Linked DNA regions of Danio rerio. The protein of the gene in region 4 binds, or shares a complex with, the protein of the main gene of each other region. Links are inferred from orthologs where the notes say so. Each region holds a gene or a part of one and is shown on either strand. Other genes may lie near its edges.

The links. The genes of interacting proteins can lie anywhere in the genome.
Region 1: polr3g (region 4) and polr3f share a complex: the UniProt entries of both Homo sapiens proteins name them as parts of the RNA polymerase III complex. The link is inferred for Danio rerio from reciprocal best matches to the Homo sapiens genes POLR3G and POLR3F.
Region 2: polr3g (region 4) and zgc:171971 share a complex: the UniProt entries of both Homo sapiens proteins name them as parts of the RNA polymerase III complex. The link is inferred for Danio rerio from reciprocal best matches to the Homo sapiens genes POLR3G and POLR3D.
Region 3: polr3g (region 4) and crcp share a complex: the UniProt entries of both Homo sapiens proteins name them as parts of the RNA polymerase III complex. The link is inferred for Danio rerio from reciprocal best matches to the Homo sapiens genes POLR3G and CRCP.

What each region holds. Positions count from the first base shown.
Region 1 is NC_133197.1:25,887,218-25,893,584, forward strand, and holds the start of polr3f (DNA-directed RNA polymerase III subunit RPC6), read right to left. Parts: upstream 4,115-6,367; 5' UTR 3,913-4,114; intron 1,976-3,912; exon of another isoform or gene 1,847-1,975; coding exon of another isoform or gene 1,791-1,846; intron 1,226-1,790; coding exon of another isoform or gene 1,165-1,225; coding exon 1,108-1,164; intron 1,017-1,107; coding exon 949-1,016; intron 568-948; coding exon 500-567; intron 100-499; coding exon 1-99. Other genes in the region: dzank1 (double zinc ribbon and ankyrin repeat-containing protein 1), read left to right, coding at 4,430-4,538, 4,892-5,042. UniProt on the Homo sapiens protein: DNA-dependent RNA polymerase catalyzes the transcription of DNA into RNA using the four ribonucleoside triphosphates as substrates.
Region 2 is NC_133187.1:7,834,361-7,840,761, forward strand, and holds the start of zgc:171971 (uncharacterized protein), read right to left. Parts: upstream 4,115-6,401; 5' UTR 4,061-4,114; coding exon of another isoform or gene 4,056-4,060; 5' UTR 4,032-4,055; intron 3,749-4,031; coding exon of another isoform or gene 3,748-3,748; coding exon 3,574-3,747; intron 1,407-3,573; coding exon 1,360-1,406; intron 1-1,359. Other genes in the region: zgc:110716 (uncharacterized protein LOC550248), read left to right, coding at 5,772-5,964. UniProt on the Homo sapiens protein: DNA-dependent RNA polymerase catalyzes the transcription of DNA into RNA using the four ribonucleoside triphosphates as substrates.
Region 3 is NC_133196.1:33,905,476-33,911,705, forward strand, and holds the start of crcp (DNA-directed RNA polymerase III subunit RPC9), read right to left. Parts: upstream 4,115-6,230; 5' UTR 4,082-4,114; coding exon of another isoform or gene 4,074-4,081; intron 3,510-4,073; 5' UTR 3,497-3,509; coding exon of another isoform or gene 3,478-3,496; coding exon 3,460-3,477; intron 3,370-3,459; coding exon 3,271-3,369; intron 538-3,270; coding exon 443-537; intron 127-442; coding exon 69-126; intron 1-68. Other genes in the region: asl (argininosuccinate lyase), read left to right, coding at 5,419-5,433, 5,522-5,716. UniProt on the Homo sapiens protein: DNA-dependent RNA polymerase catalyzes the transcription of DNA into RNA using the four ribonucleoside triphosphates as substrates.
Region 4 is NC_133180.1:52,722,827-52,729,213, reverse strand, and holds the start of polr3g (DNA-directed RNA polymerase III subunit RPC7), read right to left. Parts: upstream 3,814-6,387; 5' UTR 3,794-3,813; coding exon 3,683-3,793; intron 3,518-3,682; coding exon 3,388-3,517; intron 2,862-3,387; coding exon 2,793-2,861; intron 1,955-2,792; coding exon 1,890-1,954; intron 1,822-1,889; coding exon of another isoform or gene 1,814-1,821; coding exon 1,760-1,813; intron 1,670-1,759; coding exon 1,544-1,669; intron 1-1,543. Other genes in the region: acyl-coenzyme A thioesterase MBLAC2, read left to right, coding at 5,803-6,244. UniProt on the Homo sapiens protein: DNA-dependent RNA polymerase catalyzes the transcription of DNA into RNA using the four ribonucleoside triphosphates as substrates.

The sequences.
Region 1 (6,367 bases), on a different chromosome or scaffold from region 4:
CTGCTTTAATGAGTTTCTTACTCTCAAGATTCTTGAGGATTTTATTGATTTCAGTGAGTGGAAGGTTACTCTTATATCTGATGTCTCTGCTCCAAATTCCTTTACAAAACAAATAGGAAGAAAATTATTAAACTAAATATTCTAATCAATATGAAACAGTAGTTTATTTTAGATTTAAATATACATTGCTACAGATGAATGATAAATAGGCCCACACGAAATCTGCACACACAGATTTTCGCAGATTTTTCGCAGAATTCCAGATTTTCCGCAGATTTTCCGCAGATTTCTCCAGATTTTTAGCCCATCATTAATTCCGTTTATTTACTTGGGTAAATGTGTGTAAATCTATACTTATTCAGTTTTTTTTAATTAATTACAGAAATATTACGGACTAATATGAAAATGTTCATCTGATTTATGCACAATGCAGTTTGTAAAGACTGGAAAAAAACTTCCGCAGATTCTGTCTGGCCCTGATGATAAATAAGCATTTTACCTTTATTTCCAGCATCTTCTATGATCTGGTACACTAGTTTCTCTTGGTTATCAGAGCCTTTTACCTTGCTGTCAAAATAAACAGAAACAAACAAAGAAATGAACTTAATTATACATTTATTTATTTTACATTTACTAATACTAAATCATTTTCTTAATGTGCAAATTTGCATGAACTTTGAGAAGATAATTTTAATAAATCTGAACTTACATAAATGTCCTAAATTTGTACGCACATATGACATGTATTGCCTTTATTGTAACGAATTGATTTGATCATAAATGTCTGTGCATGTATATGTATGTATTTATTAGAATTAGTTTTTGCTCACTAAACTTGCATGTGTATATATATTTTGTGTGTGTGAACTTCATATTCTTTTCATTTATACATTAATTACTATAAACTGAACAAATCTGAGTGTTGTGTGTGAATATTGACACACAAACCTTGCAGACTGGGTATCTTTAAGCCTATATAAAAGCCCGCTGCTGTTTCTGAGCAAGTCTAATTGACCCTGAGGACAGAAAAGAACAATCAGACATAAATATAAAGTGCAGGAACGCATGTTTCATTCTGTTACAGTAAGATGGAGCTGAACATCTCACCACAGACAGCAGTCTATTGATGGCCGTGGCTCGCTGCTGCGCCTCAACGTGAGGCATGTCATTCTGGATGACCTGGTCTGTGATCCCATGTGGAAACTGCTGACACAACTCTTTTATCCTATGACAGAAGAGGAAAACACAGCAAACATCAGCAAACAACTACATTTCCCAGCATCCTCTGTGCTGCAAGACAGGAAACACTATCTAACAAACAAAAACGTATTGTCTTTGTGAAAAGGATGAACATGTAAAGGATGCACTTTTATTTTATCAACAAAAATACTTTAATGCATTTTGCTGACGTAATTCTGAACTAGTACTTCAAGCCAATAAACATATCGCATTAAATAGACATACATAAATGCAATGTATTGTTCTTCATCTAAAATAATACTAATAAAGAGGTTGTTTACAAACTCATACACTATTAAAACTTCGTCATTCAAAACGTACATGAAATGCAACGAAGCTCTCTAAGTTACTAAGAAAGAGATTTTGCTTCATGTTGTCAGACTTTTCGGTATCTAAACATGTACACGTGGCAAAAAAAGACAATACATTTGATGGAAACTTTAATTGCTTTTTTAAATCCATGTAACTTTACACGTTGTCCTACGGTGTTTTGTTAACGTCAACAGGCCGCATGCGCAAGAATAGTGTAACGTTAACTGCGTTCAACTCACCTATTCTCGATATCTACAGGGTCCGTTGACTCTTTTTTGACTTTAACTTCTGTCATTGTGCATCAGACTGGAGTTACTGGAGTATTAGACCTAGTGTCAACAAAACAATACATTCATAGACCCATTTAAAGCTAAGATGAAACGCCGTGTGGTATTGCAGTGTGCGAGAGGCGGGGAGAGTTTACAGGCGACTGGGTTGCCAGACAGCGAAAAATAACCCATCAGACTGCTGTCAAATAGGATCGCAACATCGGTGGCTTGTCTCTTTTTAACGGAGAATTAAGCATTTTGTTTTGTCAAACCCAATTATATTTCGGAGTTAAGACACGACTTTTAGTATTTATAACGGAAGTATTCTACATTCGTTGATAAAACACGGATATGGCAACAGAAACTGAAAGCTTCAAATCTAGACAAAAGATTTACATCGCCACCTACTGTACGGGAGTATATCTGTGACTAAAATATCCTCATGATTTAAAGAGGACCAGTGTTGGAGAAAGTTACTTCAGAAAGTAATGCTTTACAGTATTGAGTTACTCCCCAAAAAAGTAACTAGTTACATTACTTAGTTACTTTTTATGGTAGGTAATGCGTTATGTTACTTTTGCTTTACTTTTTTTGACCTATGTGAGGCTGGCTGATCTCTTGCAGACATTGCAGGTTTTTTTTCTTCTTCTTCATTTTTTAGCTCTACAGTTAACAACACACTGTATAAAATTCTTTTCCTAAAAAAAAAAAAAATCTGAATTCCTAAAAATTATGTAGGATAAAGTTATCTTCGAATCAGTTTCTGAGCCCAGAGCTATACATGGTGCATAATGAATGTTTAAAAGAATGCTTTTCCTACTTTAGTACTTTTTGTCTTGGGAGTAAAATCTATTCAAATGATACTCTTTTGCTTTTCCTCCATGTGTTCAAAGTAATGAGAATATTTCCATCGCAGAAATTTATAGCTCTGCCATCTTCATGTCTGTCTGTTCCTGCGTTCTCTCATCGAGTGTGGCATTCATTTTAATTCAGCAATTTATTTTTTTAAAGCGAATTACTTAAACTAAAAAGTAACTCACATTACACTTTTTAAAAAGTAACTAAAATTTTATTACTTAATTTCTGAAGGTAATGTGTTACTTTATTCGTTACTTAGAAAAGTAATACTATCACGGAACTCACGTTACTTGTAATGCGCATTACCTCCAACACTGTAGAAGACTCCCGTTAAAATATAATTTAGAGTTATAAATAGACCATTTCGATGTGGCAATGTCACTGACCCATGAACATTTCCTGCTCGTTGTTGAACTACTTCATAACTGTAACAAATCAATTTAATCATATATTAACTTTAAAACAGCTGCTATAACATTATTTATCAATTTGTGGTCCTTTTTTATTCTTGGAAGCTATGGAAATTCTAAATGTCATAGAGGAAATACATTAGTGCCATTGTTATTGTTTACATCCCTTGAAATGGTCTATAGTATAATACCCCAGTAAAATACACAAGACTTTTGTGACACACTAATTAATTGTACTTTTGATAATTAATTTAAGCTTTATAAAACGTATATATGCTGTACTTTCAAAATAGAATTACATTGATCTTGTTTTATGCTTTAGGTCACAATGTTTTTAATTTTTTTTACATAAATTATGCTGAATGGCGATTTGGGTGTTCTTTTACAAACATAAAGACATATGATTTAAAAAAAAAACTTTGTTTAAAATATTGCATCAAGTACGCATGTGTTAAAATTTATTTAATGAGAATACACGGGAAATTGTTTCAGGTAAAATAGACAAATAGAGAATTTGTAAAGTAAAATTGATATAAAAATCTGATCCAGTTACTGGTCCCTAGAGATTGAGCTAAAGTTGGTTTTATATTGGCACATTCATTCAGTGACAAGTTGTGACATGTTCCCTATATTGTTTATCATGGTACTTTGAATATTCAGTCACACGGCTTCAAAACAACATTAGCAATATTTATTTGACTGTGAACAATGTTGTGCTTAGATAGTCATTGGCTGCTAATATTTTATATTATAATTTGCAAAAAAAAACTAAAAAAAAGTTAAATTATTGAGGAAAGTCCGAATGTGTGAATCTAAAATTTTACCACAATTCTGTAGAGGGAGCTGGGTCAATCAAAAGCCAACCTTTTAGACCGTTTCAAGAAAATAATAAACGATTTTGAATTTTTCTAATTGTGTTTTCCATGGACGAAAATAATATGAAGTAATGGCTACAGAATTAATGTCAAGAGGAGTGAGTTACCCCTTTAAATTTGACTGTGGGAAATGAGCGCATGCGCACTAATCAGTTGCCATGGGTAACGTGACCCACCAATAGCGCAGCCAGCTGTGTGTTCAGTCTAACATTACAGCGTCTTGTACACACCGTACACATCGTGTGCTTCGAGTGTCATCGAAAAAAACACTCATTTAATATAAATATACGAAATATTTACAATTCAATTGTAAAGTGATTAGAGATACTTCAATCTACAAAAAATAGTCTGTGTAAGCTCTTATTATCCAGTAGCCTAATGCACTAATAATAGTATAACGTTAAGCATTTTATGTCATTCTAATGATATATTTTATTTTCTATATTGCAGGTTAAAGAGCACAAACATGACTGCAGGATCAGTGGCAGCACCTCAAATAATCCCCATCCGCATTCCTCCTCCAGGTAAAGCCAAGCATGAGATAGACTCCAGCACTCCTGTTGAGATCAAGTCAGGTGAGTCAGTTTAGCTCTAAAGATACAGTTCACCCCAAAATGAAAAAGCTCTCAACCTCCACTTATTCTAAGTTTTATGAATAACTTTCTTCTGTTGAACGCAAAAGAAGATATTTTGAAAAATGTTGGAAAGCATCAGCAATAGACAATCAAAATATGTTCCTTCTATGGGAGTGAATGGCTGCTGGTTTACAACATTCTTCAGAATGTCTTGTTTCATGTTTAACAGAAGAAAGACATTTATAACATTTTAGAACCGTTTGAGTAAGAGGAAATGACATTTTTGGTTGATCTCTTTAGCACAAGCCTGCGTCTTGTTGATTTTCATGTGTTTTATAATGTATATTTCCCAGAATCCCCTGATGTGAGGGTCCTGTACACGCTGGACGGCAGTAAGCCGGAGCTGACAAAGAGGCCAGGTTTTGCTGACAGCACTCTAAAGTACACTGAACCTGTTCGGTTACCTGTGGGGAAAGTGTATGTGAAAGCCATGGCCGTCTCTATGTAGGTACATTTTATGCTTTGTTTTTTATAATAATGTGTGTGTTGTTTTTAACTACAGGCACTGCTACAAGTGTTGATTTTTATTAAAACTTTGAGATTTTGTTTTGTGCTTTCCCACATCATGAAAGAATTTATATAGCAGTTTATTGTAAATACTATAGTGTTTTTGATTGTAATATAGTATTTACAACACTTTGTTAATGAATGCTACAGCATAGTGAAGTATTAACTATAGTAAACTGTAAATCTGTAATAAATACTGTATTAACTTTTGGTTTTACAACAGCAAACTGTGGAGTATTGTAGTATAATAAACCATTTAGTTGTAGAAAACCTTTATATTTAAGAAACTAGTTTGTTACTACATGTGTTGTAATACCTAAACAATTAATTGAGTTAGCGCAACAGATTAATTTAAACGTACAATAGTATGGTTTGAAAACCTTATTACTTATAATATATAATATTTGAGATCAAATTATATCACTAAAGTACTTACTATAAAAACTGCTAAAGTATTTTTTCATATTTGGTAAATTTCAATAAAACTATTCCTTTATTGTTTACTTGTTTAAAAATGTTCAAGGTCTTTTTGTGTTGAAATTTAGTGCTGTTTCTAAAACTACAGTGATGATGACAAAAGCCAAAGGGAGAAAAGTTTTTTTTCTTTACTTTATTACTTAGGAGTACTCCATTGATACTTTTTGCTTTCTCTTGCAAAACTTGTGTGTTGTAAAACTATCACCTTCTCTCCTGAAATGTGAGCATTTGTGTTGTCAAAACAGTTGATTTTGTTGTGAAATATTAGCATTCTGTTACAAAACTGTGGCAAAAATAATGCTTTGCCACACACAAAAAATGTCTTTTTGTTGTAAAACTATGGATTTCCCCTAAGAAAAATTAATCAAATCATTTCCAAGCAAGCATTTTGTTTTTTGGTTTAAAAAAAATACATTTGCTGTTTGTTCATATTACTTTTTTAAAACTGGCTAAAACTGTTTTTTTATGTGTTAAAAAAACTTTATGTTCAATCCATTTGTAAAAACTAGTATGTTAAATGGTGGCATGGTGGCTCAGTGGTTAGCACTGTCACCTCACAGTCATACATACAGAGTGTTTATGGGGGTTTCCTAGTACTGGGTTGCGGCTAGAAGGGCATCCGCTGCATAAAACATATGATGGAATAGTTGGCGGTTCATTACGATGTCACAACCCCTGATAAATAAGGGACTAAGCCGAAGGATGATGAATGAATGAATACTACGTTAAATTAATTAATTCATTTTGTCCCAACACATAACGATTCTGCTGAATTTTTTTATAGT
Region 2 (6,401 bases), on a different chromosome or scaffold from region 4:
ATAACGGTCCAAAAATAGTACACCCAAATTTATATGTTAGAGAAAAAATGTATTTAAAAAATAAATAAAAAGAGCAAAAAAAGAAAAAGAAAAAAAATAATAGATTATTATTTTTTTATTTTGTCGTTTGTAATTTCCTTTCCAATATTTAGCATTATTTTTAATGTATTATCTTTCTATTTCTAATGCTGTTCGGCAACTAAAATATTATTTTAATAAATATATCTGTTTAATAAATCTGTTTTGTTTAAATGCATCAAAACACATGACCTATATTCACTGAGAAATTGATAAAAATATTCATTTTCAAAACGAAGTGTATATATTTATGTTGAGCACTGTATATAACATACATTTCCCTTTATTAGGTACACCTTTCCAACTGCTCGGAAGCGCAAATTTCTGATCAGCCAATCGCATGGCAGCAACTCAATGCATTTAGGCATGTAGACATGGTGCCACTCCTGTCAGCTAAAAAATTTGGACAAAAGATGATTGGAAAATGTTGTCTGGTCCGATGAGTCTCAATTTCAGCTGCAACATTCGGATGGTCGGGTCAGTATTTGGCATCAACAACATGAAAGCCTCTTGTTACAAGCGTCCTACCTAGTAACAAAGGTTCAGGCTGGTGATGCTGGTGTAATGGTGTGGGGGATATTTTCTTGGCACACTATGAGCTCATTAGTATCAATTGAGCATTGTGTCAACGCCACAGCCTACTTGAGTATTGTTGCTGACCATGTCCATCCCTTTATGACCACAGTGTACCCATCTTCTGATGGCTACTTTCAGCAGAATAACTTGCCTTGTCATTAAGTGCAAATCATCTCAGGCTGGTTTCTTGAACATGACAATGAGTTCACTGTACTCGAATGACCTCCACAGTCACCAGATCTCAATCCAATAGAGCACCTTTGGGATGTGGGGGAACGGGAGATTCACATCATGGATGTGCAGCCAACAAATATGCACCAACTGCATGATGCCATCATGTCAATATGGACCAAAATCTCTGAGGAATATTTCCAGAATCTATGCCACGAAGGATTAAGGCAGTTCTGAAGGCAAAAGGGAGTCCAATCCAGTCCTAGTAAGGTGTACCTAATAAAGTGGCCAGTGAGTGTATATATATATCCATCCGTGTGTGTATAGCATTATTAATGTATTTAAATATTTATAGTTATGCAATTTAGCCATATTTACAAGGCATATTCTAACTCCCAACCCCAGAACACAGTTTGCTGCTTTGACAAAATCTCCATTATAAAAAGCCCTATCAAAATGAAGAAGAATTATATTGAGCACGAGTACTACAAATACCAAACAAAGCAATAGAATGAGATCTTTAAAAATACTTACTCATCTTTACTTTTGCGAACGGAGTGAACATTTGGAACAAAGGTTTTCTGCAAGGGAAATAAAAACACAGCGAGTCAATTAATAATTGCTTGGTTCATTATTAAAGTAACACTCATATTTATTACACATGACCAGATAGTAATTAGACTAAAATTCTAATAAACTGACAAGTATAAACATAGTATGAGGCATTGACATGATGACCTAATTTGATGTCTGCATTAAAAACAATTTACAAAAAATTTAATTTAATTTAATATTAAAAAGAATATTCAATGTAATGAAGTGTCTATAATTTGATGTCTCAGACTTTAGAGAAAGTAAAATGTCAAGAATATGGGTAAAATAATATTATTCTAGTGTAATTTAAAGTAACAGGTGCATTCATGTAAATTTAACCTGCATTTATTAGATAGATAGATAGATAGATAGATCATGTTATCATGTTATGTGATCATGTTAAATTGTATTATACAAATATATCCTAATGGTTATGGTTTTAAAAAAATGCGCTGCACATTTACATTTTCTTCATAATTTTCTCCAAAGCAGGTTTGAAACCATGTTTTTATTGTAAAAAAGCACAATGCAAGTAACATAAGTTAAAGGAATAGTTCACTGAATATTTTAAATGTAATAATGAACTCACCCACAAACCATTATACATTTCTTTCTTCAATTAAACAAAATTTGATATTTTGAATATGTTGAAAACCTGTAACCATTGACCACCATAGTAGGAAAAACAAATACTAAGAAAATCACTGGTTACAATGTGGTAAAGTTAGTTTTATTTTCGCACATTCTGACTTTCTCCTTAATAATATAATTTCAAACAAGTATTATTGTTTTATTAATGTTGTATCACAATTATACAACATTGTCCACAGCCAAATAAATAGTGCTAATGTTGTTTTGAAGTTACATGTGATTTCAGTCCTAATATTCCTGATAAAGTACTATGGTAAACAATACTAAGGTAAAGTTGATTTTGTATTCGCACGATTGTTCAGTTTTTAACAGCGACAACTTGTGACACGCTCCCTGTATTGTTCAACAAGCTACTTTGACTATTCAGTCTGAAATAGCATGTAAGGATGTCTTCAAAACAACATTGGCACTATTTAACTGACTTTAGTTGTTAATGTTTCCCTTTGACAGTTGTTGGCTGCTAATATTAATTCATTATTTAGAATTTGCAAACAATACTTTTCTCTAGTTATATTATTAAGGAGAAAGCATGAATGTGTGAATATAAAACTAACTTAACCAAGTTACCGTAAACGATATAGTGAGCATTAGGCATGGGACAATAACCGTTTTCGAGGTGTACTGCGGTTTGGAAAAATCAAGGTTTTAAAACTGCCGAAATCTTTTGCTATACCGTTTCCTAAGGTATGTATTTGTTTGTTTTTTTTATTTATATTTTAATTATTATTTATTTTATCTCGTTTTTTTTTTATTTTTTTTTGTTTTGTTTTTTTTTAGGACAAATCTCCGACAACAAAAACATATCTAAAGGTGCTACTTTAAATTGTAAAGAAATTTGAGTTTTTGAAACTAATGAAGACAGCAGAAGTCAAAGACTTGTTTTAATTATTTACTGTAGCCTGACATGTTTACTGTTGGAAAATATTTAAAATGTTTCTCAAAGTAAATTTTTTGTATTTAAAGTGGAAAAAAAGTTTGTTTTTTACCCAGAGATTTAAAAAGAATATATTTTAGAGAAGTAATCACAATACTGTGAAACCGTGATATTTTTTATCCAAGGTTATCATCCCGTCAGAATCTTGTATCGGCCCATGCCTAATGATCATATCACAAGTTCTGAATGAACGAGCGAATACAAAACCAAATTTAAAATCTCAATAATAGTTACAGGTTTCCAGCATTTTTCATAATTATTTATTTTGTGTTTAAGGTAAGGTAAGGTAAAACTTTATTGTCCCAGTTAGGGAAATTTGTCTTGTGATGACTGCAGCTGAGGGCAAGAGCCCAAACATGGACAAAACAATAAACATCCAAAACACAAACAAGTAATTCAATAAATTCAACACAAGACAGAAACGAATAACGTTAAAGGTTTGAAACAAGGAAAGAGTAAGTAAATGATGACAGAATTTTTATTTTTTTGCGTGAACTATCCCTTTAAACCAATCTTTTGTCTTTGTTAAAGATTAAAAACAGCATTAAAAAGGTATTAGAATGAGTAACCTTTTTAAATCCTCCCAGGGTCAGGTCTCTGGACCGCAGGGAGGTCAGTCTGCCTGGTGGAGGAGGATTGTGTGAAATTCTCCCTGGCAGTCCTTTAACGTTGCCCAGAGCAAAAGACGGTCTGAAAGTGGAAGATGAGCTCGCCTCCGCGTCCCCATCTCCATGATCACACATCCTGCCAAACACACAAACAACAAACCCTACTGAGCAGCGTGCAATATGTGATTACTCAGACTCAAACAAAGGTGAAAACCTTAATTTTCCAAGAGAAACGCTCGTTCAAAATACACTAAATGTGCGCTGACTTGGATTTCAAGACGCGCGCGCCTCCATTTTGTTAGCAACCTATGCTATCAAAACAAAGCCTTTCATAGCACTTTATGACATTTAGACGGACATATTTAAAAATGCTGCGCACGGCTGCATTAGAGATAAGTGAAAATAAATACTATACGTACTTGAAATTTGTGTAAACTGCTCACATCATATCTGCCGAACTCTTCCAGCTGACAGCTACATCCTTGCAGGAGCATCATTGGTCACGTGACACGAGCCCTCTGTTAGGAAAAGATTACTCAGACATTTTATATTATATTATATTATATTATATTATATTATATTATATTATATTATATTATATTATATATCATTTTTTAATATTTACATATTATTATTTTATATATCATCTATATTATATTTTATTTTATATTATTATATCATTTTATATTATATTTATCACAATAACAAATTTTTTAATAAAAATAAATAAAATATATTTAAAGTTTTTATTTGTCCATTTAGTCTTATGGTGTCATCATGATGGTTTTGTTAATAAACTCTCAATTAATAAAATATTAATAAACTTTTAACTTAAAAAAAATTATAAGTGCTGTATATTAAATAATAATGAACTAATTTTAAATATTTTGTTTTTAACGGTTATTTTATCTGAACAATAAATAAACATTTTGTTTCAAATCTATTTACATATATATTTATAGCTATTTTTATAAATATCATATTGTATTAGGCCTATATAATGATATACTATAATAACTCTGGACTGTATTTCATAAATACTCTTTAAAATTGTAAATGGTAAATTTTAATTTAATGCACAAACATTTTAAACATATTTATTTATAGTTTTAATTTAATGCACAAACATTTTAAACATATTTATTTAAAGTTTATTTCATTCCTTTTATATGGTCTCTTTTGTGTCATAAAATGGTTTATTATCGGACTGAATTTTAAAACTACTGTCTATGAAATTTCGTGTTTTGTGTAAAATATACTCAATATTTGTACAATACATTTATTTTGAATATTATGCATTAACAAGTATAAAATAAAACTAAAATGAAAAGGTGAAAAATAAAAACATATTTTATAAAAAACTGTTGTAAAAGTAACCACTTCAGTAAGTTTTGGGACACAGACCCCTTCCATCCACCCTTCTTCTAACTCATATTGAACAAAGGGCGGCACTCAACTTTTGGCTGCCCTCACTTTTTTATTCCTATTTATATTATATTATATTATATTATATTATATTATATTATATTATATTATATTATATTATATTATATTATATTATATATTTTGCTAGCAGAGAGCTTATCATTCCTGTTAGAAAAAGATATAATAATATAATATAATATCTAGTTTTTCACAATAATGAATAAATATTGTTCATTAAAATAATGTAAATACATTTAAAGTTTATATTTGTGCAATTTGCAACTAATGTTTCTGAAATAATTTATATAGTTTTGTTTTTTGTAAAATATATTCAATATTTGTAAAATATATTTCTATTTAATAATTTAAATAATACACAATTAATTATAAAATAATAAACAAATTTTTTAATTTAATTTATACACTGGTATTGCCCCAAAAAAACTCTCGAAATGTTACTTAAGAGTCAGACTTATCAACATCATATTTATGGCGTAACAGGAGCTGAACGGTGTCAAGTGGGCACTTTAATAAGTTTTGGGACACAGACCCCTTCCATCCACCCTTCTGGCTCATATTGAACAAAGGGCGGCGCTCAACTTTTGCCTGCCTCACTTTATACTCCTCCGGTCGGTCAGAGTAACTCACACAGAGCCCGCGATGACTGGCGCTCACTCTCCGCGGGAATGATCTGATTTGAGGCTGCGGAGAGTCAGCGGTGCTCTGTGAAAGTCATGGCCGCTCAGTGCGAACCATTAAGCGGATACTTACAGCAGTCTGACCCGGGCTCCAACAGCGAGCGCAGCACCGACTCCCCGCTGCCCGTGTCTGAGGATGACTCCAGCGGACCCACGGCGCCTCCGGACCCCGAGTGGACCGAGGAGAGGTTCCGAGTGGACCGAAAAAAACTGGAGATCATGTTATTAGGTAAAAACCGTTGTTTCCACGACTTCACTAGCCATTTTAGGAGTGTTTAAAAGTAAAGCTCAAAGATTAGTTCTTTAAAATGTACAATTGTGTTTAATAATCGTGCACAAAACAGTTTGAACAAACTAATATCCTATTATTAAAGCATCTTCAAAGCTGATGTTCAGCTTCTCCTTTGTTCGTCTCCTACTGATAATCATTTTTCCATACAACTTTTTAAAAAAAGTTTTAATTTCTCTTCTAGAAAAGTTTGAACAACTTTCATAACTTTTTTAAAGTATATAAAAGAGTTAGGGGGGAAATAAAGCAAGAAAACAAGTATTCAGACTCCCTCTGAGATCTGTTTGTTTTGAATAAAGTTTGCATATAATCTAGCTATATCTTAATTTCTCCCCCCCAAAAAAAGTGATCTTTATTTTTAGGTTTCAAGTTCCTGG
Region 3 (6,230 bases), on a different chromosome or scaffold from region 4:
AGCATTGTCAAAAATGGGCAAAGATGTTAAAGACAAAGTGTATGAAAAAAAGATGTGAAGACTCATACCAGCTGGATCTCAACAGCAGTCTGAGGTCTGTGGTTTAAGAGCTGCAGCTTCTCTGCTCTTTGAACAGAAATAGAAAAGAAGTTAACAGGCTGCTTTTTTCACAAGCTAAAATAAAAAATCTGATAAACTAACACTAGACTCATTGTCAAGTGCAAAACCAGCAACTCACACGTGTACTGGTTTCAGAAACATCACAACACAAACCTTCACAATGGTGCATCTCAAACCCAGAATTACAAAGTCACTGCAATGCACTGTATTTACTGTGGCTTTCACACAGTTTGAGGCTTTAAGGTTTTTCCTTTCAAAGAGGTGATTCAGTGCACAAGTTTTAAATGCATGCTTACAAAATAAGAGAAAAAATAAAAAGTACTTAGTAAGTTTGTGAGGCAGCATGGCGGTGAGGAACTCCTTCACTGTCTCTGGTTTCTGATGAACACATGGCGTCTTAGAGAGGTACTTCAGGGTCTGTTGAGGCAGAGATTTCAGACGTTAAAGGGCATGACTGAGCAACACAATCTCAAATCTTTGCCTTGTTTTGGAGATAAGGCTGTGCAATATGACAATTTGTACAGGGGTTGGACAATGAAACTAAAACATTGGCCAATTTAGTGTTGGAGGTTTCATGGCAGGTGATTATGCATTCCACCAGTAAGAGCAGAGTGTGAAGGTGTAATTAGGAGAGTAAAAGCACGGTTTTGCTTAAAAAGTTTTAAATGCACACAACATTATGGGTGACATTTTGGAGTTCAAAAGAGGACAAATTGGTGTGCGTCTCGCTGGCGTATCTCTGACCAAGACAGCAAGTTGTGATGTATCAAGAGCCACGGTCTCCTGAGTAATGTTAGCATACCACCAAAAAGGATGAATCACATCCAACAGTAGTAACTGTGGATGCAAGAGCTGTCTGAAAGGGATGTCAGGGTGCTAACCTGGATTGTATCCAAAAATACATAGAACCACAGCTGCCCAACTCGCTGCAGAATTAAACGTGCACCTCAACTATCCTCTTTCTACAAAACTGTTTGTCGGGAGCTCCACAGGGTCAATATACATGACCGAGCTGATATAGCCCAACCTTTGGTCACTCACGCAAATGCCAAACATCGGTTTCAATGGTGCCAGCAGCAAAAATCTTGGTTTGTGGACAATGTGAAAGATGTATTGTTCCTTGATGAGTCCACATTCCCTGTCTATTCCACATGGAAAGAGTTACGGTGTGGAGAAGCCCCAAATAAGCGTACCACCAAGAGTGAAGCGTGAGGGTGGATCAGTGACGGTTTGGGCTGCAATATCATGGCATTCTCTAGGCCCAATACTTATGCTAAGTGGGAATGTCGCTGCCTAGGACTACCAAAATATTCTGGAGGACCATGTGCACTCCTGAAGCCAGTGTCGTGTATCAGGATGATTATGCAACAAGACTCACAGCAAGACTGGTGACAGAGTGGTTTGATGAACATGAAAGTAACGTTGAACATCTCTCATGGCCTGCACATTCACCAGATCTAAATATTATTGAGCCACTCTGGAGTGTTTTGGGGGAGCAAGGTAGAAAACATTTTCCCCACCAGCATTACAAAGTAACCTGGCCACTATTCTGCAAGAAGAATGGCTTAAATCCCTTTGGCCACTGTGCAGGACTTGTATCTGTCATTTCCAAGACCAATTGATGCTGTATTGGCTGGGCTGCAAAAGGAGGCCCTAGACCAGGGATGTCAAACTCAATTCCTGGTGGGCCGCAGCCCTGTACAGTTTAGTTCCAACCCTAATTAAACACACCTGATCAAACTAATTAAGTCCTTCAGGCTTGTTTAAAACCTACAGGTAAGTGTGTTGGAGCAGGGTTGGAACTAAACTGTGCAGGGCTGCGGCCCTCCAGGAATTGAGTTTGACATCCCTGCCCTACACCATACTAATGAATTATAAATTAATCTAAAACCAGGAGTTTCAATTTCATTGTCCAACCCCTGTGTGTGTGTGTACACATATACACACACACACACACACACACACACACACACATATACACACATATACACACATATACACACACATATATATATATATATATAGTTTATTTTGTGGAGTTAACAGTAATACTTGTATATGCGTGTTGACCAGATCATCCCTGCATCATAAGAAAGTTGCAATCTTGAAAGTACAATGTTTACATTATTTAGCAATGTTGGACCTGTAATCATTGGTTTTTGAAAAGTGTTTTATATACTTTATTAATATGTGCTTTATATTTATACCTTCTCAATCAAATATTTGCCCTGAAATTCTAAATAAAGGGAGGAATATGATCACATACGAGTATATCTCTGAGTATGTACTTTAAATTGTAAAAAAAAATAAATCTAGATAAAGTCTTTTACATGTGGTCAATACAAACTATTAATGAATTGAATTTTAGAAATGTTACTATATAGTAAGATATATATCGTTATCAATATATGAGATGACATATCATTATACATGATTTGTCATATCACCTAGTCCAATTTGGAGGTGTTTGTTTATTTATTAATTTATTATTTATTGCCACATCAGCAACTTATGGCTATTTCGTGGCAAAATGGATATTCATAAAATATTACATGAAAAAACGAATTCGTATTACAATAAAAAAAGTTACTTACACGAATATAAAAAATATAAATACAAAAAAATTCACACAAAAAAAATATTCAAAGTCAAATATGATTTTTCAGTTAATTTTTTAATTAATAATTTAAAACTCTTCCTGATGGTACCTTTTTAAAAGTGTCCACTGAAGTACCCTCTTTAAAATAATTTTGTCTAATGGAATTTAAACTTCTACATTCCAACAAAACATGTTTTATGGTAAGAGCAGCCTGGCAGTAATTACATTTACGTAGTGCTTCTTTTTTCAGTAAATATAAATGTGTCAACTTAAAATCCAATCCTCCAATTCCACATCTGGTGTAGGCCATCTGATCATGCCTAGTCTGAAAATTATAATTTGCTAAACGTCTTTCATTTATTTTCGGGTTAATTTCATGCAATTTATTATTTATGCAGTTGTCCCATTCTCTTTGCCATGTTTCGTTTATGAACAAATGGACTGTGGGTTTCAAGTCCTCAGGAGGAATTAAACATTCTGTCACATTCAAGGAGATAGCCTGTTTTGCTGCATCTGGAGATGTTTGTTAGATCACATCAAAAAACAAGCACCTCATACATGATGGTGTTGAGATTCTGCTGCCCGGTGCTGTGCTTATTTTTAACCATCTCCTTTCTTTTTTCTTTCAGGTCTGTCAGCAGCTGATAGACCTGGTGGAGTAGAGAACACTTCTATAGCCACAAACAATAAAAAGTACACTTTTTGTTTTTTTATTCGAAAGTTTTAAAATTCATACTGACCTCATAATTGCTCAGCATAGCAGCATTGGCATCCCTCCTACAAAAGAATACTATTAATATTATTATTAGTTTACTTTAAATCATGTACAGTAACCGGAAATTAATAAATGAGTACAATGTGCAGAAGGTACAGTAAAAAATATTTCAACATTTACCGTTTTTAATATAAAAGATTAACAACGTTTATTTTTGTTCAGTTTCTAAAATTACTAATGTATTGTCATCTCTTAAAAATTTGATTCTTAAATTTTGATTTAACACTGTTAGATCACTGTTTAGAGTTTGTATTTACAAGCAAAACTAGTCAGAGACACACTAAATCCATTGGCTATAAATTTAAAACTTTAAAGACTATGTGAAGGGCTTGTGGATAAGATTTTTAAGACGTATTCTGTGAATCATGTTTACACCTAAAAAACACAGTAGGAATTACAACATAACGTTATGCAGTTTGTCGTTATAACGAGGATGTCCACGTGAGCAGCATTCCATTGTCATTGTTATCCTGCAAAGTAGTTTTCCCCGTCAGACCACCACATAATAAGTATTTTAACTAAAAAGGGAAAATAAATGTTCTCGAATATAAACATATAAAAGTAAAATATGTTGCTTACACTTCCATCCTGCTCGCTTTGTTGGTTCAACATCTAACAACAATCCGTCGAGAAAACGAAGCTGTGTTAAACGTTCCCCCTCAGTCGTCTTGTTCAAATCGGTTCAAATGCTACAAATATTTAAAACAGATAAGATTTCAATATTTTTTGTTTACTATGTATAGATTATAATTGCACCAACAATGAATTAATAGAATGTATATATATATATATATATATATATATATATATATATATATATATATATATATATATATATATATATATATATATATATATATATTTTAGGTAAAATGACAGTATTGCATATTGTTGGTATAGATAAACCCTGATGAATGAAGAACAAGATCTAGTCTCGGACCATAATGCAAATTTTAGTTGTAAATGATACCATCAAGGTATTTCCAAAAATTAAGATTGAAATCTGTATGTTATCTAAATAAGGCTGCAGGCTGCTTTAAATGGCGTAGTATTGGTTAAAATGATTAAACAGCTAAATTAAACATATGATGAAAAATTGGTTAATGTTTTTTCCCCTAATATTCATTTTACGTTATATCCTAAACACATCCTAAAACTAATGACATAAATCACAAGTTCTCTGTGGACGAATTTATTTTATAAATACATGAAAGCATTATTCTTTCATTTTCCTTCAGCTTAGTCCCTTTATTCATCAGCGGTTGCCACTGCGGAATGAACCGCCAACTTATACAGCATATGTTTTACATAGCTGATGCACTTCCAGCTGCAATCCAGTACTGCGAAACATCCATACACACTTTATTAACAATCACCCACATATGGACCGGAGCAAAACACACGTCAACACGGGGAGAACATGCAAACTCCACACAGACATGCCACCTTGCTGTGAGGCCACAGTGCTTTCCACTGAGCCACCGTGTCGCCCCATTAAAGCATTATCTTTCATTTTAATTAGACAATGACGCCATCCATCGTCCATGACCGTCACTGCATGCTGATTTATAAAAGTGTATTTTCCTTAAGAGAGGCGGTTCTGTAGCCTTCGGTATAGTTGACGGGATTGGTTACTCAAATGAACGACAGCTCCCGAAAAATCGCGCTTATGATTTTGATTAGTTCACAAACACCTCATTTGCATATTATGGGCGGGGCGTGCTTGGTCCCAAAATAAACGAGGAGGAAATGCAGTCCGGTCGCTGTTGGATGTGCAGGCTCTTACTGTAATTTATCCCTCGAATACTTAAAAGCACTGATTTGTTCCTTTAATTATATGACATTTCCTCATTCTGTTTGAATCATACGCTTTAGTTTTCCGTTTGCTCATCGCACGTAGGTCGCTACTCTAGAGACTGTTACAATGGCAAGTTCAGAGGTAAATATAGCTATTTAATTTCTGATTTTGCACGTGTTTCATAGTTACAAGCCTTTTAAGAAAAGTCCTAATGTCTATTTTATGACAGGGAAATAAACTATGGGGTGGTCGCTTTGTGGGAAACACCGACCCTATAATGGAAAAGTTCAACGCGTCAATCTCGTACGACCAGCGAATGTGGAAGGCTGATATTAAAGGGAGTAAAGCTTATGTAAAAGCTTTACAGAAAGCAAGCCTTGTAACCCAAAACGAGATGGAACAGATTCTTACAGGCCTTGACAAGGTGATAACATTTTATTCACCACGTTACCTCAACTAAAAACCAGTTTGGTTGCTTACTTTCAGGTTATATGTGTTTGTGTGTGTGTTTTGTTTTTGCAATGTCAGTTTCTTTTTGAAACTTTAGCCTATATGATGCTCCTTGGTAAATATTCACCTGGGTACTGTACCACAGTCCATTTCACCCTTTGGCACCAACGCTTAATGCATAACAGACAAAAATATGTCCTGACACAGACACAATAACAATAGACATGTGACTGTTGATGATGCCTATTGTAAACCGCAGAGCCCTGTTGCCCAAAACAAGTTGAACAAACTTCGGGTTGCAGAGTAAGATTTAAGTTGACAAAACCAACCTAAAGATCAGGTTAAATTATTTCTTAATGCTTTATAAACCCTTCTCTGTTAACTCAAGGTTTAATGCAGAGTTTGTGATTAACTTTGAATAGGATGCAGCTAGGATTGTGACACGTAAACATGACACATTAGAGGGTGAGTTTGATTTATTTCCTGCA
Region 4 (6,387 bases):
CAGAAATTGTATAGCAGAACATTTTGGCGGTTTTAAAACCTTGACTTTTCCAAACCACGGTATACCTTGAAAGCGGTTATCATCCCATTCCTAATTGTGTGTGTTTAACAGACATCCAAACAAAGACGCCTTGGCTAAAACAAGTCTAAATTTTGGGCTGTCAGTGGAAATCTATCAATAGTCATCAAATAGACAGACTTCATGTGTAGTCAATCTTTCCCATCTATTTGATGACTAGTCTATTTTTGTTCTTTTGTTTGACATATTAGATTCTCACTGACAGCACAAATCTGTGACCCTGGAACACAAAACCAGTGTCACCAGTGATGCATGCATCATCTAAAAGCTATATGAAGCTTTCCATTTTTGTAAGGTTTTAATTTTTTTTTAGGATAAGACAGGGGTGTCCAAACCCAGTGTTGGAGGGCCGGTGTCCTGGAGAGTTTAGCTCCAACCCTAATCAAACACATCTGAACCAGCTAATCAAGCGCTTACTAGATATAATAGAACAGGGTTGCTTAACCCTCAACCAGGAGATTTACCTTCCTGTAGGGTTCAACTCAAACTGATCAAACACCTGAACCTATTGATAGACGGCACATGATAATTACAGGCAGGTGGGTTTTATTTAGGTTGCAACTGAAATCTGCAGGAAGGTGGATCTCAGGAATAGCTGCGGTCACACTGGACTTTTCTCCCCATAGACTTCCATTCATATGCACCCGAATGCGTCAGACCGGAAATGCAAGTTAGTGTGTCAAATCGCATCACTTGACTGCGTGACACCAATCGAGGATCAAAACACGATCTCTCTGGACAGGAATTTAAAATGTGGACTAATCGCTCGCTTTTTTTTTTCAAATGTCGAATCATCTTGTTTAATCCCGCCCCATTTCGCAACGATGTACGACAGAATGCGTAGGCACGAACTCGTGATCGCAGATATAGGTTTGGTCAGTTAATAAAAACTGCATGGCAGATGTGTTGAAGCAAGTTGGAGCTAAATTCAGCAGTACACTGCCCCTCCAGGGCCGACTTTGGACACCCCTGGGATAAGACAATATTTAGTCCATAGGTCTCAAACCCAATAAAGGTTTTTTTCTCAATATTTAAATTTTTACAAACCCTCATATTCCAGATTTAGTCATGAACACCTTCATCCCTCCAGGAATTCAGTTTGAGATGATTTAGTCTATGCAACTACTTGAAAATCTGGAATCTGAGAGATTGTAAAAATCAAAAGATTGAGAAAATAACCTTAAAATTTGACTAAATTATGTGCTTAGCAATATCCATTAAACCAAACTTGATTCTAATATATTTACCATGGGAAATTTACCAAAGAAAAAAATCCTTAATATCAATTTCATATTTTAATATCAATTTTAATATCTTAATGGTATTTGACAGAAAAGTAAAATGTAAGACGTGTCAAGGGTCAAATGTAGCCTTATTTTAGCCAAGTTTTAGCCATGTTTGGATGCCTATTACATGTATTCAACAAACAATAAATAAAAATGCTCCCTGAAATAAAAGCGTATACCTCTTCAAACTCTTCATCATAGTCTCCTTCAATTTCTGCTTCCTCTCCTTCCTCGTCATCCTCTTTCTTTTCTTTCTTCACTTCATCCTCCTCATCAGATTTGACATCTCCCTTCTTCTCAAGTTCCTGGAAATAAAAACAAGCGCAAATGAGATGGCTCCAACCAAAAATATCTGTTTACAGTAAATCGAGAAGATGAAAACAGCACGAGCTCACATCCAACTTATTCAGCACTTCTTCTTTGTCCTTAGTAGAGATTTTTACGGATTTCTTCAGATCTGAAAGTATTTAAGTGTATGAGTCATTCAAAACTGCAGTTTGTTTAGGGATTCTACATCTCGATACAATTACCCCTTTTCTTCTTCTTTATGCTCTTCTGTGGTTTTAGCTCCTTCGGAAGACGATTCCAATCTACAAAGAATATCTACAATTTAGTTGAAATTACTCAGCCTTAGGGCTGGTCGATTTGAAGAAACATTTTAACTATTACCATTAATGACCAAATATTTGATTAATTTGTTTTATTATTTTGTCCTCAAGGTTCACTGACAGGTTTTCTACAGTAAATATGCTCACATATTACAAGTAAGTAATATTTGAATGAAGGGTGTATTACTTGATTTAAAAAATAATAATAATTGAATGAAACACTATCTACTATCTATGATTATTTATTGAACATCAATGTTGAACAACTAAAATTAAAACACACATTGTTTAAAACAAACAGTCACTTTTTTTCTTATAAAAAGTGAAAATAACTTATTTGAAAAACAAAAAAAAATATTTTCAGTGTTTTTCATATAAAAAAGTAGGAAATAAGCAGTATCTCTTCTAAATAAAATAACTTTCATATCCTGTAAATAATATTTTAAACAGGGCATTTCTTGCATCTTCTATAAACAAATATTTTAATGTAAATAATCATTTGAATGTAATGGAAAATATGCCATCAAGGCATCTCTGGCACAGCTTCCAATTATCGTCAACATAGTCCAAAGTATGGCTCAAGAATGGATCCATCGTCCTACTTGACCAGAGATCAGATGTGGCTGCAAAGTGTGGCTAACAGAGCGAGGTCACATGACTCCACACATGACAGGGAAAGTAATTGAAAAAAAAAAACTGACCTATAAAAATTAGATCGTTATAAATCATATATCGATTATAGGTTCTAAAGCTTTCGATTTCAATTACTTTTCCATTAAATCGCCCAGCCCTATTTAGCCTATTTCATTTAAATGAATACCTGGTGTCCAGTCTTCATCTTCAAGTTTCTTTATTTCCCGCGTGTATTTTTCCTTGTACCTCTCCACATCTTTAAATCACACACAATAACATCGTGAAAAATACTGATATGCTTACAATAATAAATATATGAAGAGTTAAGATGCAAAAACCTCTAAATGCCATCTGAAATTTTCATCTAAAATGAGTATTTTTATCAGTCTCCTGTGTGTATGTTCAGTAATATCACTTTTATGGCAAAGAATGAGCCCTTTTCCTGGTCTTGAAAGTAAAATATCTTACAAAATAAAAAAGAAAAAGAGGCTGAGAAAAACGTTCATTTCTGATGGAAATTTCAGACAACACTTTTTTTGCATCCAAACTCTTCATATACAGTAGTTGTGACTCATGGTCAAACTATACCATATCAGTTATACTATTTCACTTAAACATATAGTTAAATGGATTTATTGTTTCTAGGTGAGTTAAAACATAGCATTGCCCCCAGTGCATTAACTCATACTCATCTAATTTTACAATTATCTAAATTATTAGACTCGTTGTAGGAGGCAATAGGTATTGTGTGTTCCTAAAATTAAATAAAAGCTCCATCTCACCTCCCTTTCCTGCATGGTGCTTTATGTTAAAAGGAAGGTCCTTCATTCGTCCTCTCATCTCTTGTTTCAAAGCTCTCATATAATCTTCATCTTCGCCAGCTTTCAAAGGCCCCGGTTTATATTCGATTTGCTGTAAGGTGGAGTCGTGTGTCTTTAAAACTGAACCTTCTGAATAAACACTTTCTGACCTTGCTGAATCAGATTTTTAAAGTTTTGAGAAAGAATGGATGGAAAGAGAAATATCCATTTGGGAAATTGATGGAAGAATAATAACAAATGGTTCAGAATAGCTCACTGGGAAGAGTGGAGCTGGTCCTCTTTGGGTTTCAGGCATGGATCCTCTGGTTAGACCCAGGGACTCTATGTTGAAGGAGAATGCTGCTACACCTCTTCCCTTTCCAGCCATTTCTGATCAGATAAATTTTCTCTAAAATCATTTGGATGAAATAATTTTATATTAGTTTAATAAACAAGCAAATATTCATTCACTCATTTTCTTGTCGGCTTAGTCCATTTATTAACCTGGGGTCACCACAGCGGAATGAACCGCCAACTTATCCAGCATGTTTTTACGCAGCGAATGCCATTCTAGCCAAACCCCTCCCTGGGAAACATCCATACACTCTCATTCCCACTCATACACTACGGACAATTTGACCTACCCAATTCACCTGTACCACATGTCTTTGGACTGTTATGGAAACCTGAGCACCCGGAGGAAACCCACGCGAATGCTGGGAGAACATGCAGACTCCATACTGGAATGCCAACCGACCCAGCTGAGGCTTGAACCAGCGACCTTCTTGCTGTGAGGTGACAGCACTACCTACTGTGCCACTGCGTCGCCCAACAAGCAAATATTATGTAATATAATATAACAGTGAGATACATGTCGTTTTAATTGCATAGTGTCAAGATTTGTTAGCTGGCATCTAAGAACCAATAGCTAGGATGTTGTTGACTACTTTTCAATCCATATTGCTTATACATGCTAAACACTATGAGGATGTGAGGACTACACTGTGATGTCACTGGATGGTGATGTCATGAATAGTGATGCAAAACTGTCAATCAATATAATATGTCCCTTTGTAGTATTTTTGAAGGATGTAAACAAAAACAATGGTCTTAGCATATTTCCTGTTTTACATGTTTAACTTGTATAGCTTCCGAGAATCCAAAAAGAGCCACATATTGATAAATAATGTTATGACAGCGGTTTTAACATTATGATATGGTTGAAGTGCCTCTTTTACAGTTATGAAATAGTTTGATAACAAGCAGGAAATGTTCATAAAATACAGAATGAGATTGTTCAGTAATGCACATAAAATAACATTTCAAATATGTTAATTTAGATTTTCTTGAAAGGTGGATTAAAAAAAATGAATTATTGAACTGCTACATGAATTTGAGCAATCATATGTAATTTATTTTCTTTTAAACTATAAAACTTAATTAAATCAATAGTTTCAAGTAGTGTATTTAATTGTTATGCAACTGTAAATGCAAGAACATAAAACAGGGCATAATGCACTGTTTATATAAAGGATGTATTTATTCATTTATTATTTAATTATTTGTAATTTACAGTCATTTATTGTTATTTATTTTTAACAGTATTTTAAATTATGCATTAAGGAAATCTATGCATAATTGTTCTCGAGACAAGCAACTCTGATGTGTTTGGTTTCCTCTTTTTTTTATTTATTTAGTCGTTTAGTTAATTTAGTATATTTATTTATTTTTCCCCAAAATAACTGTTTGGCATTAGTAAACTTAGACTAACAACCCTCGTTTGATCGTCTTTTAATTTCTGAGTTGCCAAAGCACACCTGAATACGATTAATATTAGGCTACTTTACTATTTGAGTAGAATTCACCTCGCAAAAACGCAGCATGTTACAACAATACACTTGTATCTTTGTAAGAAATACGAGATATATGATTGAAACATTGTATTTAACATACAAGATACATTGTAACAGCATTTGGGTAAATAAATGCAGATATAATGTTTTACTTATTTAAATATCCATTACGTTTTACTTATTTAAATCTCCATTACGCTCCGTCGCGGAGCAGCAACAGAAAAAAAAACATATTCAAATAGCAACCACTTACCTTTACAGCTTTCAGACGCATTAAGTACAAATAGGCAATTAATTAAATACCGCTTGTGCTTTATTATTAATATGCATAACTTGGGAGGCGCTAATTTCATCAATGGCCAATAGCATTCTCGATTCTACGGCGCGTCACGTCGTTATGGCTGGTGACGTGTTACGCTTGCGGAACAGGGTGTCAGCGTCCTCCTCTCTGCGGCTGAAGCAGCAAAATTTGAAGCCAGAATTATAGGCTAACAACCATACATCTATCCTCGTATGCAATAACAACATCTTGAATGAATTTGGGATGGCTGCGACCGACTGGTACGCGCACAAGTCGCTGGAAAACGGCGTGTTTTGGATCCAGGAACGGTTTTATGAATCGGGGAACAGGGCGAATATCTGGCTCATTCGCGGTTCTCATCAGGACGTCGTCATAGACACCGGCCTGGGTTTACGGAGCCTGCCTGAATACATCCAAGAGAAATCGCTGCTCGGGGACGACGCGAAGCGTAAAAACCCGCTGTTGGCCATCGGCACACATGTGCATTTTGATCATTCGGGTGGGCTGCATCAGTTTCAACAGGTGGGCGTGCACAAAGCGGAGGTGGACGCTCTGGCCAACGGTGACAACTTCGAGACCGTGACATGGCTCTCTGACCGCGAGATTGTGGAGGTTCCTTCGCCTGGATGGAGAGCCAGGCAATACAGAGTGAAAGCGGTCACACCAACCCATATATTACAAGAAGGTGGGCTTGTAATTACTTGTAACTACTGTGCCAGTGTATGCAACATTATACGTTTTAAGCACATTTTTTATGTGTGCATGCATTTATGCACCGTTGCAGGGTTCAAGGCATAATCTATTACAGTAGTAAAATACACTGAATTG